2 linked regions of the Elephas maximus indicus genome follow. The protein of the gene in region 1 interacts with the protein of each later gene in a pairwise test. Links are inferred from orthologs where the notes say so. Each region holds a gene or a part of one and is shown in the gene's direction. Other genes may lie near its edges.

The links.
Region 2: the proteins of C3H1orf216 (region 1) and ODAD1 interact in binary tests that used the Homo sapiens proteins (3 or more experiments, as listed by UniProt). The two-hybrid records come from large-scale screens. The link is inferred for Elephas maximus indicus from reciprocal best matches to the Homo sapiens genes C1orf216 and ODAD1.

What each region holds. Positions count from the first base shown.
Region 1 is NC_064821.1:77,046,258-77,053,937, reverse strand, and holds the start of C3H1orf216 (UPF0500 protein C1orf216 homolog), read left to right. Parts: upstream 1-4,679; 5' UTR 4,680-4,763; exon of another isoform or gene 4,764-4,787; intron 4,788-7,587; 5' UTR 7,588-7,592; coding exon 7,593-7,680.
Region 2 is NC_064829.1:98,657,803-98,664,691, reverse strand, and holds the start of ODAD1 (outer dynein arm-docking complex subunit 1), read left to right. Parts: upstream 1-3,871; 5' UTR 3,872-4,337; coding exon 4,338-4,452; intron 4,453-5,837; coding exon 5,838-5,937; intron 5,938-6,052; coding exon 6,053-6,242; intron 6,243-6,889. UniProt on the Homo sapiens protein: Component of the outer dynein arm-docking complex (ODA-DC) that mediates outer dynein arms (ODA) binding onto the doublet microtubule. Involved in mediating assembly of both ODAs and their axonemal docking complex onto ciliary microtubules.

The sequences.
Region 1 (7,680 bases):
GCCTTAAGAGCTCTCTGGTGTGTCAGGAGCCCTCTAAGACCACCTGGTTATGGGAGCCCGAGTTACAATGTTCACAGCTATAAAGTAATAATCTTCAAGGTATGTGCACACAGTGTCTTGCTTTAGCCTCCCCACAACACAGTGATGATAACATTATTATTATCATGTTTATTTAACCCATAAAGGCTAAAATTACTTGCCTAAGTTCCCAGAGCCTTGTAGGAAGTTGGGCTGATGATATGGGATCAGGAAAAGAGAAAAAACCACGTAGCAATAATGTTGTTTGTACTCCAGGACTAGATGTGTATGCTTTGTTGTGGTGTGGAATTTTTGGGAGGCTTCCTCAGTTATCTCCTTACTGCCCACAGGATGAGTGAAGCCCAAGCTGCTTGGAATGGTAGTCAAGACTTTTCACAACCGGGCCGACTTTAGCCTCCAGCCTAGCTTCCCACCTCCATTTTCCCCCAAGCTCCAGGCACACTGGCCACTCAACATTCCCTGAACACACTCTAATATGCAGTCTCCTCTGCCTTCTCCCACTGTCTCTTGCTGAGCTTCTACTCTTCAAATATCACCTCCAAGAAGCCTTTCCTTGCCTTCCTTTGTGTTCGTTACATTTGTCTTCTACCTCTGTTGCAGGACCCATCACATTGTGTAGCCCACTTTTTTCTGTGTCCATTTCCCTTTCTAAACTGGGAGCTCTCCGTGGCCATGACCAGGTTCAATACCTGGCACAATGTAAGTACTCTGTAACTGTGTGCTGAATGTGAACAAGTGGATGGAAAGGGGAAAGCTCTCTGAGGCTGAATCACCTTGATCCTTCCCATCCCATTCTTCCTGAAAGTATTGGCATTGAGAAAGTATCCACTTTATGCCTGTCTTACTGCCTGGAATAGAAATTCCTGTCATCTTCCCTTGTTTCCTTGCCTGACACCCCTGGCCCCTGGGGCTGGATCTGGCTACTCACTGCTAGCCTTCTTGATTCTAGTATCTGTCTGCTTGCCAAGACACCTACCCACCACCCACTGCTGGATTTTCAGGATGAGCTGGCTTGCTGGCACTGGCCACCACTGGTGATTTCTGTGTCCCTGCCAGTTAAGTCCCTGGCATGTATGTGGGTAGGTGGACAGGGCTACAGACACCCCTTCACTTGGGGTGATTGATTCCCTGGCATCATGACTGGGAAAGCCTATTGTGAATGAATGACAGACATCTGTAAATCTGCTTTTCTGTGGCTGTGCAGACATGGATGTCCCTACCTTCCCAGGGCTTTTTGTTCTCCTGGCTCCTACTTCTCTGAAAATCATGGCATAGCGAGGACCCCTGTCTGAGCACTTAACACATGAATTATGAAGTGCTAGAGCATTCCACACAATGTTGCCCTTGACTAAGAAGAGAGACCACAGTCTGATGCCCTTGAAGTTCATTTGTCTCAACACATATATGGTTATTTAGAAGCATCTTGCTTTATAACAAGGGAATGACCAATTGATGATTCAGCTTGGTGACAGCCAGGAAAAAATACCCGGTGAGTTTGGGGTGCTACTTGGCAAAGTACAATACAGGCTTTAACTCAACAATCAAATATACGATAGCTCTTCTCTCATAGCTACCATACATACCAAGAAGTGTAAGTGGGGGTGGCATGCTATGCCCACTAATGCACCTACTGACTCAAAGAGTTTGCTTCCTGTCTCTGAGATTCTAGGTTCTCCTTATAGCGAGGTTTAGCATCTAGGGGGAATGTTTCCACCAGGGAACACAGAAATGATACCACTGCCTTTCAGGTACCTCATAATATTAGATAAATAGAAGAGAAGGGGATCACAGTGTAGGCTGGGCAGATTATGGCTGTCAAGGGGGAATGGAGTCGCTACTACTAAATGAGGGCCGAGAGGTGCAGGAGTGGAACTCACGGGACCCCTGGGTTTCCACCTTGTGCTATTGCATTAACCAGGATTCTTTTGGTTGCCAGTGATGGAAATCCCACTCAGGTTAGCCTTGGCAAAAGAAGGGATTTATTGGAAGGTATACAAAACTACTTGGTAGGCCTCAGGAAACCAGGCCTAGAATGTCACCAAGACTTTTTTCTTTTATCTCTGCTTCTGTGTCAGAATCATTTTCTCCTACTACAGATTGACTTCTTCCACTCCGCAGGGAATATGATTGCTGCAGCCTTAGGCTCACATCTTCCCTGTTTTAATTTCATTTCAAAACGTCCCAGAGAAAGACTCAGACTGGCTCACCTGCACTGAGGTTCCTATCCCTGGACTCTTAGCTCATCACTAACCCATTTAACTCGTGTGGTTGGAGCAGGGAGAGCCAGAAGAAAAGGTAGGAGGCAGCTGTTCTGGGCAGGCCCAACAATTCAATGATCACTATCCCTCTGTGGTAAGGGAAGACCAGAACAACCGTAGACCACAAAAGGCTCAGGGCCCTCAGGAGTTAGAATCTGGGTCACCTCATAAAGAAGAAAACCCTGGCTAAAGGCAAGGAGAACTTGGAGTGAATAATGGAAAGGGAAGACTAGTTAAGCTTCAGAGTCCCTGGGTGGTGAAAACGGTTAATGCACTTTGCTGCTACACAAAAGGTTAGAGGTTTGAGCCCACCCAGAGGCACCTCAGAAGAAAGGCCTGGTGATGTACTTCCAAAAAATCAGCCATTGAAAACCCTATGGAGCATAGTTCTACATGGCGTCACTACGAGAACTGGACCCTATGGCAACTGATTTAGTTAGACCTCAGGACCTGATGTAGAAAAGGGGCTGTGCTCTCCATCTGTACTTTCTTAGCTGGGAGAGTATCCAAAGATTGAGTTACCTCTGCCTTTTCCTTGTCCCTCTTAAAATAGGATTTGTCATAATTTTTTCCTCTTCCATTCCCTCTGGAAGAATGAATAAGAATTAATCATAACCTGTTGCCATCACGTCGATTCCAACTTATAGTGACCCTATAGGACAGAGTAGAACTGCCTCATAGGGTTTCTAAAGCTATAAATATTTATGGTAGCACCACCAGGGCTCCTCCCGTAAGTACTACAGCCTAGGAAACTGTATGGGGCAGTTCTACCTTGTCCTATAGGGTCGCTATAAGTTGCAATTGATGACTTGATGGCACAACAACTTCCTTAACACCAGCCAATGCTTTTTGGTTTTATCATTGTTGTTGTTAGTTGTCATCCACTGGGCTCCAACTCATGGTGACCTATGAGACATTGCCTTATCCTGTGCCATCTTCATGATCGTTGGTATGTTTGAGTCCATTGTTGTGGCTGTTGCGTCAATCCATCTCACCGAGGGTTTCTCTCATTTTCACTGAACAAATATGATATCCTTTTCTAGCAACTACCCTTTGGTTGGAAACAGGGTCCCCATACCCTTTTTGAACAAACAAATCTCTCTTAGAGGAAGTGCAACCAGAATGCTCTTTGGAAGCAGGGATGGCGAGACTGCGTCTCACATACTTTGGACATGTTTTCAGGAGGGATCAGTCCTCAGAGAAGGACATCATGCTTGGTAAAGTAGAGGGTCAGTGAAAAACAGGAAGGCCATCAAGATGGATTGACACAGTGGCTGCAACAATGGGCTCAGGCACAGTAACAATTGTGAGGATGGCGCAGGACCCGGCAATGTTTCATTCTGTTGTGCATAGGGTTGCTATGAGTCAGAACCAACTGGACAGCACCTAACAACAACAGTAACAAATACCCTATACATTTTCGCCAAGGAGGAAGGGAGTGAGGGGAATCAGGCTTCATGAAGATGAGACTTGGAGAAGAATCCACTGGGGTTCGGAAACCTGTACTGGATACCCTATTCTACCTCTTCACCTGGGCAAAAGTACAGGAGCCCAAGAGTAAAAAAAAAAAAAAAATTTTTTTTTTTTTTGGAGGTAATTCCCCTACTTCGGAGGGGAAGCCATCTATCTGGGCTTGGTTGCAGGGCCTTAGTCCCAAGTTCTGCCCCAGAGTGGATTTTTTTTCTTCTCTTAAATCTTTCTTTAATGATTTTAATAATCACAGGATACATAATTTCAAATTGTGACAACTGCTATGAAGAAAAGGAATACAGTGACCAGAGAGGATATAAAAAGGGGAACTAACTGATCTAGGGGGTCAGAGAAGGATTCCCTGAGAAGAGCTCTAAAATGTGAGCAGATCAAAGAAGAAAGAGAATTTAAGGCAGAAGGAACAGTGTGCAAAAGCCGAGGGGCAGAAAGAAGCCAGGGGCCCCACTGTAGAGATGGAGGGCAAAAAATGAAGCTGTCCAGGCAGACAGAGCGCAGGACGCACAGAGAGCCCTGCGGCAGCCGCCCTAAGGTTTCCCCTGCAATGGGAAGCCATTGAACAGTTTTAGGCAGGAGTAGCAGTAACATGATCAGATTTTCATTTTGAAAATATCACTGTCTGCAGTGAGGTGAAGCAATCGGAGGGGCCCAGTGCCGTTAGACGATAAAATTGGACGTGGAAATCCTCAGTAAAACCAGCCCAAGGCGGGGGAAGGCGGTTCCGGCGGCCCCAGCGCGCAGCTCCACGGAAAACCGAACCGGCTCACGTGGGCCACCGCCCCGCCCCGCCCCGCCGCGCTGACGCCGCAGACACTGTAGCGAGGGCCTGGGGCTGGGCGTGCCGCCACGGACCCCGCAGCCCACGTCCCGGCCAGCGTGGACGCCCAGGCCGAGGGATCCCCAGCCCAAGTCGCCGACTTCCCGCCGGGGGTCCGGAGCGGAGCCGGAACCAGCCGCGCAGGGCCGCGCCTCTGGGCCGTGAGTCGGGGCCCGGGGAGAGAGGTGGGCTCAGCCTCGGGGAGAGGGGGCGTCGCAGCCTCGGCCCAGCTGCCTCCTTTGGGGAGATTAGGGAAGGAGGGTCGCTATCCTGTCTCCTGGGAGTAGCCTCCCTCTAACGCAAGGCTCGGCAGGAAGGGAGTCCTCCTCCAGGGTAGATTGCGAATTAGCTTGGGGAGAGGCTTGATCCTGGGGTGTCTGAGCTACTAATTTTGCCATCTCTGAGAACCCGTGATTATCCCCACCCCATCTTCCTTCAGGGCCCATCCCAGGCCTAAACCAAAAAACCAAACCCGTTGCGGTCCAGTTGATTCCGACTCAAAGGACAGACTCCTATAGGACAGAGTAGAACTGCCCCATAGGGTTTCCAAGCAGCGGCTGGTGGGTTTGAACGGCTGACCTTTTGGTTAGCAGCCTGAGCTCTTAACCACTGTGCCACCAGGGCCCCACCCAGGCCTAGGAAAAGTTTGAAGGAGGGAAGATCTCCATGCACCTTTCATAAGCTTTGCCTAGAGGGATTGGGGGTGGGGTAGGGAGTGCAGGTGACAAAGGAACTATCCCTACACCGTTCCTTCCAGGACTTCTGTCTCAGCTGGATGTGGGGAGGGTTCCTGCCACCTTTAGAGATCCTCCTAGTGCCTGTGCCACATACAGTATCCCTCACTCCTACTGATCCTCAGTTTTTCTAATCCCAGTAATGTGTGGTCAACAGGAACCTCTTTTCAATTCAAACCCTAATTTTGGTAGAAACCAGTTATTGGAGAGGAAAGAGTGGTGTGCCCTGCTTGCCCTCCTGGGCCTTGGGATGGAGCAAGCCAGGCGTCGGGACTCATGATAATAGACATATTCCAGGGGCACTGGGAGGGAAGGGGGCTCTCAGAGGAGAGCTTGTCAAGGAGTGGGCTCCCTGGGGCAGAGGAGGGAAATGGACACAGCTCATCCCGCACTTAGCAGTCAGTGTTAACCTCCTGTTACCTGCACCTGGGAATCCCGCTGCAGCTCCCTCTCCCCAGCTCACTCACTCAGGGAGTACATACTGACACCTGCTAAATGCCAGGCTCTGCACTGAGGCCTGGACGTGTAACCAGCTGCCAGTTGCCATCTAATTGATTCTAACTATGGCAACCCCATGTGTGTCAGAGTAGAACTGTGCTCCACAGCATTTTCAATGGCTGTTTTTTTTTTTTTTTTTTGGAAGTAGAGCACCAGACCTCTCTTCCAAGGTGCCTCTGGGTGGACTTCAACCTCCAACCTTTCTTTCAAGTAACAGCTAAGTGCATTGACTGTTTGCACCAGCTGGTGATACAATGCAGAGTCTATCGAGGAGCTCCCACTGTAGTCCAGGAGCAAGATTTACAAGGTATTATTGTTTGGAAACCCTGGTGGCATAGTGGTTAAGTGCTACGGCTGCTAACCAAAGGGTCGGCAGTTCGAATCCGCCAGGTGCTCCTTGGAAACTCTATGAGGCAGTTCTACTCTGTTCTATAGGGTTGCTATGAGTCAGAATCGACTCCACGGCACTGGGTATTGTTGAGCAATAGTTAAGAGCTCAGCTGCTAAACAAAAGGCTGGCAGTTCAAATCCACCAGCTGCTCCTTGGAAATCCTACAAGGCAGTTCTACTCTGACCTATAGGGTCACTATGAAGTGGAATCGACTTGATGGCAATGGGTTATTTACAACATAGGTAAAAAAAAAAAAAAGTTGAATAGAGATTTACTGACCATCAGCCATGTGCCAGTGACAGGAAACAAACATGGATAAGACAGTGTATACCCAGGGCAATGGGGACCCAGAGGAAGGCATAGTTAAATGTGTGCATGTTTTTGTGTATTGGGAGGAGTAGGGGAGAATTATCAAGGAGGCTTCAGACAGGTGGGGATATTAGAGCTGAGCTTTGAAGTGGAAAAGGAGGGGCTTAGAGGGAAGGAAAGAGGAAGGGTATCAGAAGCCAAGGAGAGTAATGGTGTGTTTTGAGATTTCTGAACAGTTTAATGGGATGTGAGGGGCAGAGTGGCAAGAGGCAAGTGTGGAAGGGTGAGTAGGGGCTGGATCAAGCAGACTTGTGTAGGCCATATAGCAGTTTAGCAGGAGTTTAGTGACAGCACGTAGAGCTGTAAAAAATCAAATTTACATTTTTAACTACAGGCAGAGAGACCAGTAAAAGGGCCGTGGCAGTAAGAAGTTGTGGGTAAGAGGTAACCTGGATCAAGTGAAAGTGAGAGCAGATACATGTACATAAACACACACAAAGTTTTAAGAGGAACAATCTACAGAATTTGGTGGCCGATTAGAAGGGGGTAGGAAGAAGAGTGAGATGTCTAGGATGTTCCCAGTATTCTGGCTGGGGTTATTGAATGGCTAGTGGAGCCGTTTGCTGAGGCCACTGAAGAGGGAGAGCTGGTTTGGACACACAGAATTTGAGGAGCCTGGGGGATGTCTAGGTTGCAGGATCGGATGGCAGTTGGATCTGAGGTGGAGACAGATTTGGGAGTCACCAACGTATGGATGGTTCTTGAAGCTACAGTAGAGGATGAGGTCATCAGGGGAGACTGCATAAAAATGAGAATAGAAGGACACCTGTCTCAGAGGGCTGAGGACACCAGTGTTTAAGGGATGGGTAGAGGAAAGTCTATGCAGGAGACTGAGAACAGTCAGAGAGGGTGGGGGAAAACCACAAAGGGAAACGGACTGAGAAGGAGCAGCCAGGCTCATGCTTACTACCTCACCCCAGCAGCTAGGTTGGTGTGACTTCAGGCACCCCACTCTGTCTTTCCGTGACTCATTCTTCTGCTTCCCCCTTACAGACCAGATGTTTGCCATCCAGCCAGGGCTAGCTGAGGGGGGCCAGTTCCTGGGGGACCCACCTCCTGGGATATGTCAGCCCGAACTCCAACCAG
Region 2 (6,889 bases), on another chromosome or scaffold:
GAAAGCCTGCCGGGCCCCTCCCCTTCGCTTTCCCTCATCCACGCCCCAAGTGCTAAGAGATCACTTCTGAAATTCCAAGGATTTCCATGGGACCCGGCCTGGGGATGTCTATCCCCAACTGCCGCACTCCCCAAGTCATGAAAGAAACTTCAGCCAGAATAACGGACTGGAAACTTACCGAGAGCCGCGGAAAAAGTCAGAGTCGGAGTCTGCTCCCTCGCTAGGGCCTCGGTGCCCCGCCCTTCACCTCCCTCCTTCCACCCTCTGGAGGCCCCCGCCTCCCTCGCAGCCTGCCTCCCTCCCTCCCTACTCACTCTCCCCTCTGGCTCACCCTCTCTTTCTCCCCTTCAGTCTTGGAACTTTTGCTCGCTCTCTTTCTCCTTTTGCCTCTTGTCTCTCTTTCTCCTGTCCCTCCTCACTGCCCAGGCCTCCTTCTTTCTCTTCTCTCACTGTCCTGATTTCTCTTTCTCTGCTCCTCTCAATATATACTGACCCTTTTATACCCACCCTAGCCGCACCCAGCTGAGGTCTGCAGCCAGGGGGAGGGCCCAGATTCTTAGGTTCCTCCTTCTCCTGGCCCCCACCCGCTGCCCCCCAGATGGGTATCTCTGGGGCTGCCTCCCAGTGTGGAGATGAGAAATTCTCCCAGGGAAGCTTTGGGGTGGGGCTGGCTTCAGGGGCTGATTCTCAGGCCTCCATGTCTTGGCCTGGGACTGGATGTCTGTTGCTTGGTGGGGCTTGGGGCTGGACACTCAGAATGGAGGGGGTTCAGGGAAGGAGGCTGCATTCCGGAGGACTGGAATGAACTGGGGGCTGGTGGAGCTGGTACCATGATAGGGGAGAGGGGTCAAAAAAAACCAAACCCATTTCGGTTGGGTCGATTACAACTCATGGTGACCCCCTGTGTTACAGAGTAGAACTGCTGCATAGGGTTTTCTTGTGTAAGGAAGGAGCCCTGGTGGCACAGAGGTTAAGCATTCAACTACTAACTGAAAAGTTGTCGGTTTGAATCCACCAGCAGCTCCATGGAAGAAAGATGTGGCAGTTGGCTTCTGTAAGGATTTACAGCCTTGGAAACCCTATGGGACAGTACTCTGTCATAGGGTCACTACGAGCCAGAATTGACTCAATGGTAATGATTTTTTAATCTTTGTGGAAGTAGATCACCATGCCTTTCTTCCTCTGTGCTGCTGCTGGGTGGGTTCAAACCACCAACCTCCAGGTTAGTACACTTTGCCACCCAGGGACCATTGGCAGGGGCTACAGGGATGGAAAATGGAATATGTGAGACTCTGGAAGGTGACAAGAGTTGGAAGTTATGAATCTCAGCTCCATTATTTCCTGGCTGGTTGACCTCGGACCAATTATTGGTTCCTAATCTGTGAAGTGGTTATAATAAAGGCAACACTGCTAATGATAATAATACTGTAACGATCATTCTGACACTGTAATGAGTATTGAGTAAGGTAATAACCGTATGTTATCACACCTACCCATTCCTTCCTTCCTCATTTATTGTACATCTACTGTGAACCAAGAGTTTGTAATGAACAAAGCAGATTATAATGTTACTATGGAGTTTACCTTCTAGGAGCGGGAGACATATTATAAAGTGAAAACATACCAATGGACAGGATAGATTTCTGATCATGATAAGTTTGTTGCAGGAAATATAATACGTGTGATGGAGATTATGATGGGAGGCTGCTTATATAGGGTGATCAGGGAGGCCTCTTTGAGGAGGTGACGTTTGATCTGAGACCTGAAAACAAGAGTTATTTGAATGCTGGAGGGAAGAGGAAACAGCTAGCGCAAAGGCTCTTGAGAGAACAAGCTGGAGTTGTTGGGAGGACAGAAGACCTGTGTGGCTGGAGCATCGGGAGCTAGAGGGAGTGGTGGGAAGGAAAATCAAAGGGGGCCCTTGAAGGCAGTGGGTGGAGTTTGGATTTTTCCCTCAGTGCAGTGGGGCACCGTTGGAGGGTTTTAAACAGAAGGGTTACATGATCCGTGTAGTACCAGGGACTTAATGTTAATCGAATTTATTCTTTGGTTATTGATTTAGGATGGGGTGATGACTAGGTATCTAAGTCTTTTGCAAGGATTGGGTGGCGGGGACATGTCTAATGTGAAAAGTGAGGGACAAGGGACCAGGGATCTGGGATCCTGATGTGGAATTGTGTGTGGGAACTTGAATCCTGGATCCCTCCAAGGGAACTGCACGATTGGATGTCTGAGTGTCTGATGGGGCCTGGAGCTGGGACTGAAGAGAGAGTTGTTGGTCATTTGGGCTTCCTGGGGACTGGGGGTGGAGGATGGATAGTTCAGTGACTGGGTGAGTTTCTGCAAGACTAAGAATCTGGGATACCAGTATATCCAGACTGGCAGAATTCAAATCCAAGCTGTTTTAGTTATCAACTGTGTGATTTGGGGCAAGTTGCTGATAACCGCTCTATGTCTCAGTTTCTTCCTCTGTGAAATAGGGATAAAGATCATGGGGTGGCTCTTAGAATAGTACCTGGCACACAGTATACATTCTGTTAGTTATGACCAGGCATCTAGAGTACTGAGTGGATTCGGTACTGGGAGACCCTAGGTAAAGGGCCCCAGGATTTGGGGAAAAAGCAATTCTTGGTCCGTGAGGGAAGGCTAAAACTGGGAGTCCAAAATGAGGAGAGCTTGGAGGTGGGGGATGAGTGGTCCCAAACTTAAGTTCCTTATAAGAACAGAGACTGGAGGTTTGAACTTTGATCCTCAAGGAGGTAAGAAGGTCTGTGTTACTGAGGGAAAAATTAGAGGCTAGAGGGTCATGTGCCCCTCATGGAGTGCAGGGGAGGGGGGCTGGACCTGGATTCTGGGAACAGTGGGGGGACCAGGGACTAGGGTGATAACTTGAGCGGGAAGGTGGAGAATAGTAGGCTGGAGCCCCGAATCAAGTTCCCTGAGTGGAATCAGCACGAGACTTCGGTTCCCGGGAGGTAATGAGGGGTCCCCCATGTCAGGCGTCGGTGGAACAGGAAGAATCGTGAGGCCCGAGGGCTGTGGCGGAATCTCCCCCTCCTGGGCCTCCGAGCGGAGCTGAGCGCCTATGGGCCGCTTCCTCCCACAGGAAACCGCAGGCGTCGGGCACACCCAGCCTGCAGGGAGCGGCGCCCACAGCCTGCCCGCCCCGGGAGGCCCACGTGGGCAGCGGCCGGCGGCGTAGCTGTGTGTCACCAGACAGGGGGCGTGGCCGGAAAGCGGAGGCAGGGCGGAGCGCCCGAGGCCACGCCCACTCCAGCGACTACGTGCGAGGTCCCCTTAAGCGGCCCAGGGTGTTTTGCGGGTTCGCTTGAAGCCGTTAGCCGCGCATGCGTAGTGAGCGGCTGCGAGGATCTGAGGCGGTGGTGAGCGCCCTACCCTTCACAACTCCGGGCATCGGCACCACCTCTCTGCTAATGAATCCTCAAAATAACGTGGCCTTAATCAGCCTAAGACAGGCACCTCTCGGACCCTGTTCTGAAGGAACTCGGCCTAGCTCCAAAGCCCTTCCAGCGCCTTCCGGACGTTTTCCTCCCAACCCTGCCTCTCCCTCCCGGAAACACTCGGCCCACCCCTCACAGTCCCGTGCTTCCCAGACAGACCATCCCGACCTCCTCCAGGCCCTTCTAGCCTGAGCCCTTCCAGATAAGCCCCGCCCCTCAAGGCCCTCCTGGCCCCGCCCCTCAAGGACCCTTCCAGCCCCGCCCCTCAAGGCCCTCCCAGCTTATCCTCAGTGCCCTTCCGGCCCCTCCCCTCATAGGCCCTCCAAGCTCCGCCCGCCACCGGCCCTCCCAGCCTCACCCCTCAAGGCCCTCCCAGCCCCGCCCCTAATCGTCCGCCCAGCCCCGCCCCTTAAAGGCCCCCCAAGCCGCTCCCCTCATCGCCCACCTAGCCCTCTCCTCACCTTCTTCCCAGCCCTGCCCCTCCCAGAGCTTCCCCACCTACCTGTTCCAAGCCCCTTAGAGCCCCCGCAGGCCTTCCCCTTGGAGCTTCTTCCGCCCCCCCCGCCCTCAGCCTCTCCCCCTCTGCCTCGGTCCCTCCCTGGCCGCTGTTCCCAGGTCTCATTGGCCCCTCATCTCCCCAGTAACCAGACCACAACAGTGCGCTCGGAGGCACTGCGGCAGGTAGGTCAGGTACCCCACGGCTCGGAGACACTAAGAGCCTCCTGTCCCCAGCGCCAGGCTCCGAGCTGGGACTAAAGACATGTGCATGGCGGGGCGTCCGGGAGGGGTGGAGCGGCCGGAGCTGGTTCTGGAGTCACCCCCTCCCCACTCAGTCCCTCGCTCACCCTCTTTCGGCCCAGCCTACCCGCTGTCTGAATGGGTGCTGTGTCGGCCCCTGCAGGAGCCCCACCCTCTGTGGCCAAGATGCCCTTGGGACACTCAGCTGTGAGCACTCGCTCCGAGGAAAGCGAGGCCTTCCTGGAGGGCATGGGTAATTCATGCGTTTTTTCTTCATTCGCTCATTCTCTTCCCGCCCTGAGAGTTCCCGAGTTCCATGCCCTGGGGACAGGTGCGCCCTCTAGTGGGAAGTCGATCTGCTTCTAATGGAGAGGGGCCAACCTGCGAAGTGAGGTCGGCCTCAAAGTCTTCTGGCAGGAGGAATTTGAGTGGAGCCCAGAACTCCTCGTAGGAATTACCAGGGGGAGAAGGAAGGGGAGCGTGTTTCAGCAGAGAGAACAGCATGTGCCTAGAGCGGGGGTTCTCAGCCTTGGGATTCGACGCTTCTTCATTGTGGGGGGCTGTCCTGTGCTTAGGAGCCCTGGTGGTACAGTGGTTATGAGCTCAGCTGCTAACTGAAAGGTCGGCGGTTCCAACCCATCAGCCTTCCAAGGGAGAAAGATGGGGCAGTCTGCTTCCCTAAAGATTACAGCCTTGGAAACCCTGTGGGGCAGTTTTCTCTGTCTTGTAGGGTCGCTATGAGTCAGAATTGACTGGACCGCAACGGGTTTAATTTTTTTGTTTTAGTCCTGTTCTTTGAAGGATGTTTAGTAGCATCCCTGGTCTCTACACACTAGATCTCGGTAACACCTACTCCTCCGCCCTCAGTCGTGACAATAAAAAATGTTAGTGGGGGTAGGGGGCAGAATTGGCCCTGGTTGAGAACTACTGGGCTAGCGCAAAGTGCCTTGGGGTTGCAGACGTGGGTAGTCAAGTCAGGTGGGGCCTTGAACACGCGGGAGCTGGGACTTTGCTGGGGCGCTGGGGAGCCAAGAGAGAACTGTGAGTAGAGGGGAACAGGCCCTGCTCTGGGGCTGTTAGGGCAGGCCGGGGAGGGTGGGGAGGAGGCTGTGTGATGGTCCAGGCAGAAGATGCAGGCACTGGGCAGAAAGAGTGAGGAGACAGGAGGAGGGGGCCTAGGCTGTGGAGGCTGCAGGGGAGGGAGGGAGCGAGGACGGTGCCCGGGGGTCTGGTGGTAGCCGTGGGGGCCTTGGGGCCAGAGAGGCCTTCCAGGAGCGCCCTCTAGTGGGCAGCAGTCGAGTTCCCAAACCTGGGGTTGAAGCGGGTTTAACGGAAATAACTTGGAAACCCTATGGGGCAGTTGTACTGTGTCCTATAGGGTCGCTATGAGTCGGAATTGACTCGACGGCAGTGTGTTTTTTTTTTAACCCGAGGTCAGCTCGGAGAACAGAGAGTCTGAAGAGGTGGGGGGAGCTGGAGGGACACAGGAACTGAGATGCAGTCCAAAACTGGGGGGCTGGGTCTGCAGCGGCAATTTGTGGGACCCTTTTTTTTTTTAGTGGGCAGTGGGTGGAATGGGTTTAGACCAGAATGGGGGCCCAGATTCGGATCGAGTCCCTTTCCCGGCCCCGCCCCCAGTGGACTGGGAGCTGAGCCGCCTGCAGAGACAATGCAAGGTGATGGAAGGCGAAAGGCGGGCCTACAGCAAGGAAGTCCACCAGCGCATCGACAAGCAACTGTGAGCCCGGCGCCTGGGGCGCCTGGGTCCCCGGACTGGGGGGAGTTAAGGGAGTCAAGAGCTGGACTCGCGGTCTGAGCGATGCTGAGCTCCGCCTCCTTGCCGCCCCGGGCAGGGGGGAGATCCGGCGCCTAGAGGAGCTGCGGGCCAACCTCCAGGTGCAGATCAGCGTCGCCCAGAGCCAAGTCAAGCGGCTACGGGACAGCCAGCGGCTGGAGCGCATGGGCCACCTACTCAAATGCCGGGCCCAGGTGCAGGCCGAGGTGGAGGAGTTGCAGAAGCAGACCAGAGCCCTGGACAGGAAAGTGAGTTCTGAGCCCAGGCTCCTGGGAATCCCAGTTAGGAGCGAGCGGCCTCACCCCTGTGAGCCTTAGCTTCCTCATCTGAAAAATGGAGCAATGGAAAGAACCACCTGGTGGGCTGGTAAGGAGTCCTGGTAGTGTAGTGGTTAAGAGCTCGGCTGCTAATCAAAAGGTTGGTAGTTTGAACCCACCAGGGAGAAAGATGTGGCAGTCTGCTTCTGTAAAGATTACAGCCTTGGAAATGTGGCAGTTCTGTTCTGTCCTATAGGGTCACTATGAGTTGGGGTTGACTTGATGGCAGTGGGTTTTGGTTTTTTGGTAGGTTGGTAACCCACCTGGTGTTCGGTCTCCAATGGGAACATGGATGTTTAATGTAAAACACAGTCCCCGACATTCAAAACGAGGACTAGCATGGGGTTGTCATGAGCTGGAATTAACTCCACAGCAATTTTATTTTATTTTTTTAAATTAATTGTTAAGTAGGGTAGTCCTTATGGGCTTAAGCATAACGATTGTGTAGATGGCAAAGGACCAGGCAGTGTTTCGTTCTGTTGTACATAGGGTCGCTATGAGTCAGCACCAACTTGGCACCACCTAACAGCAACAACAGGGTGGTCCTTGGGTGGCACAAGCAATTTGCACTTGGTTAC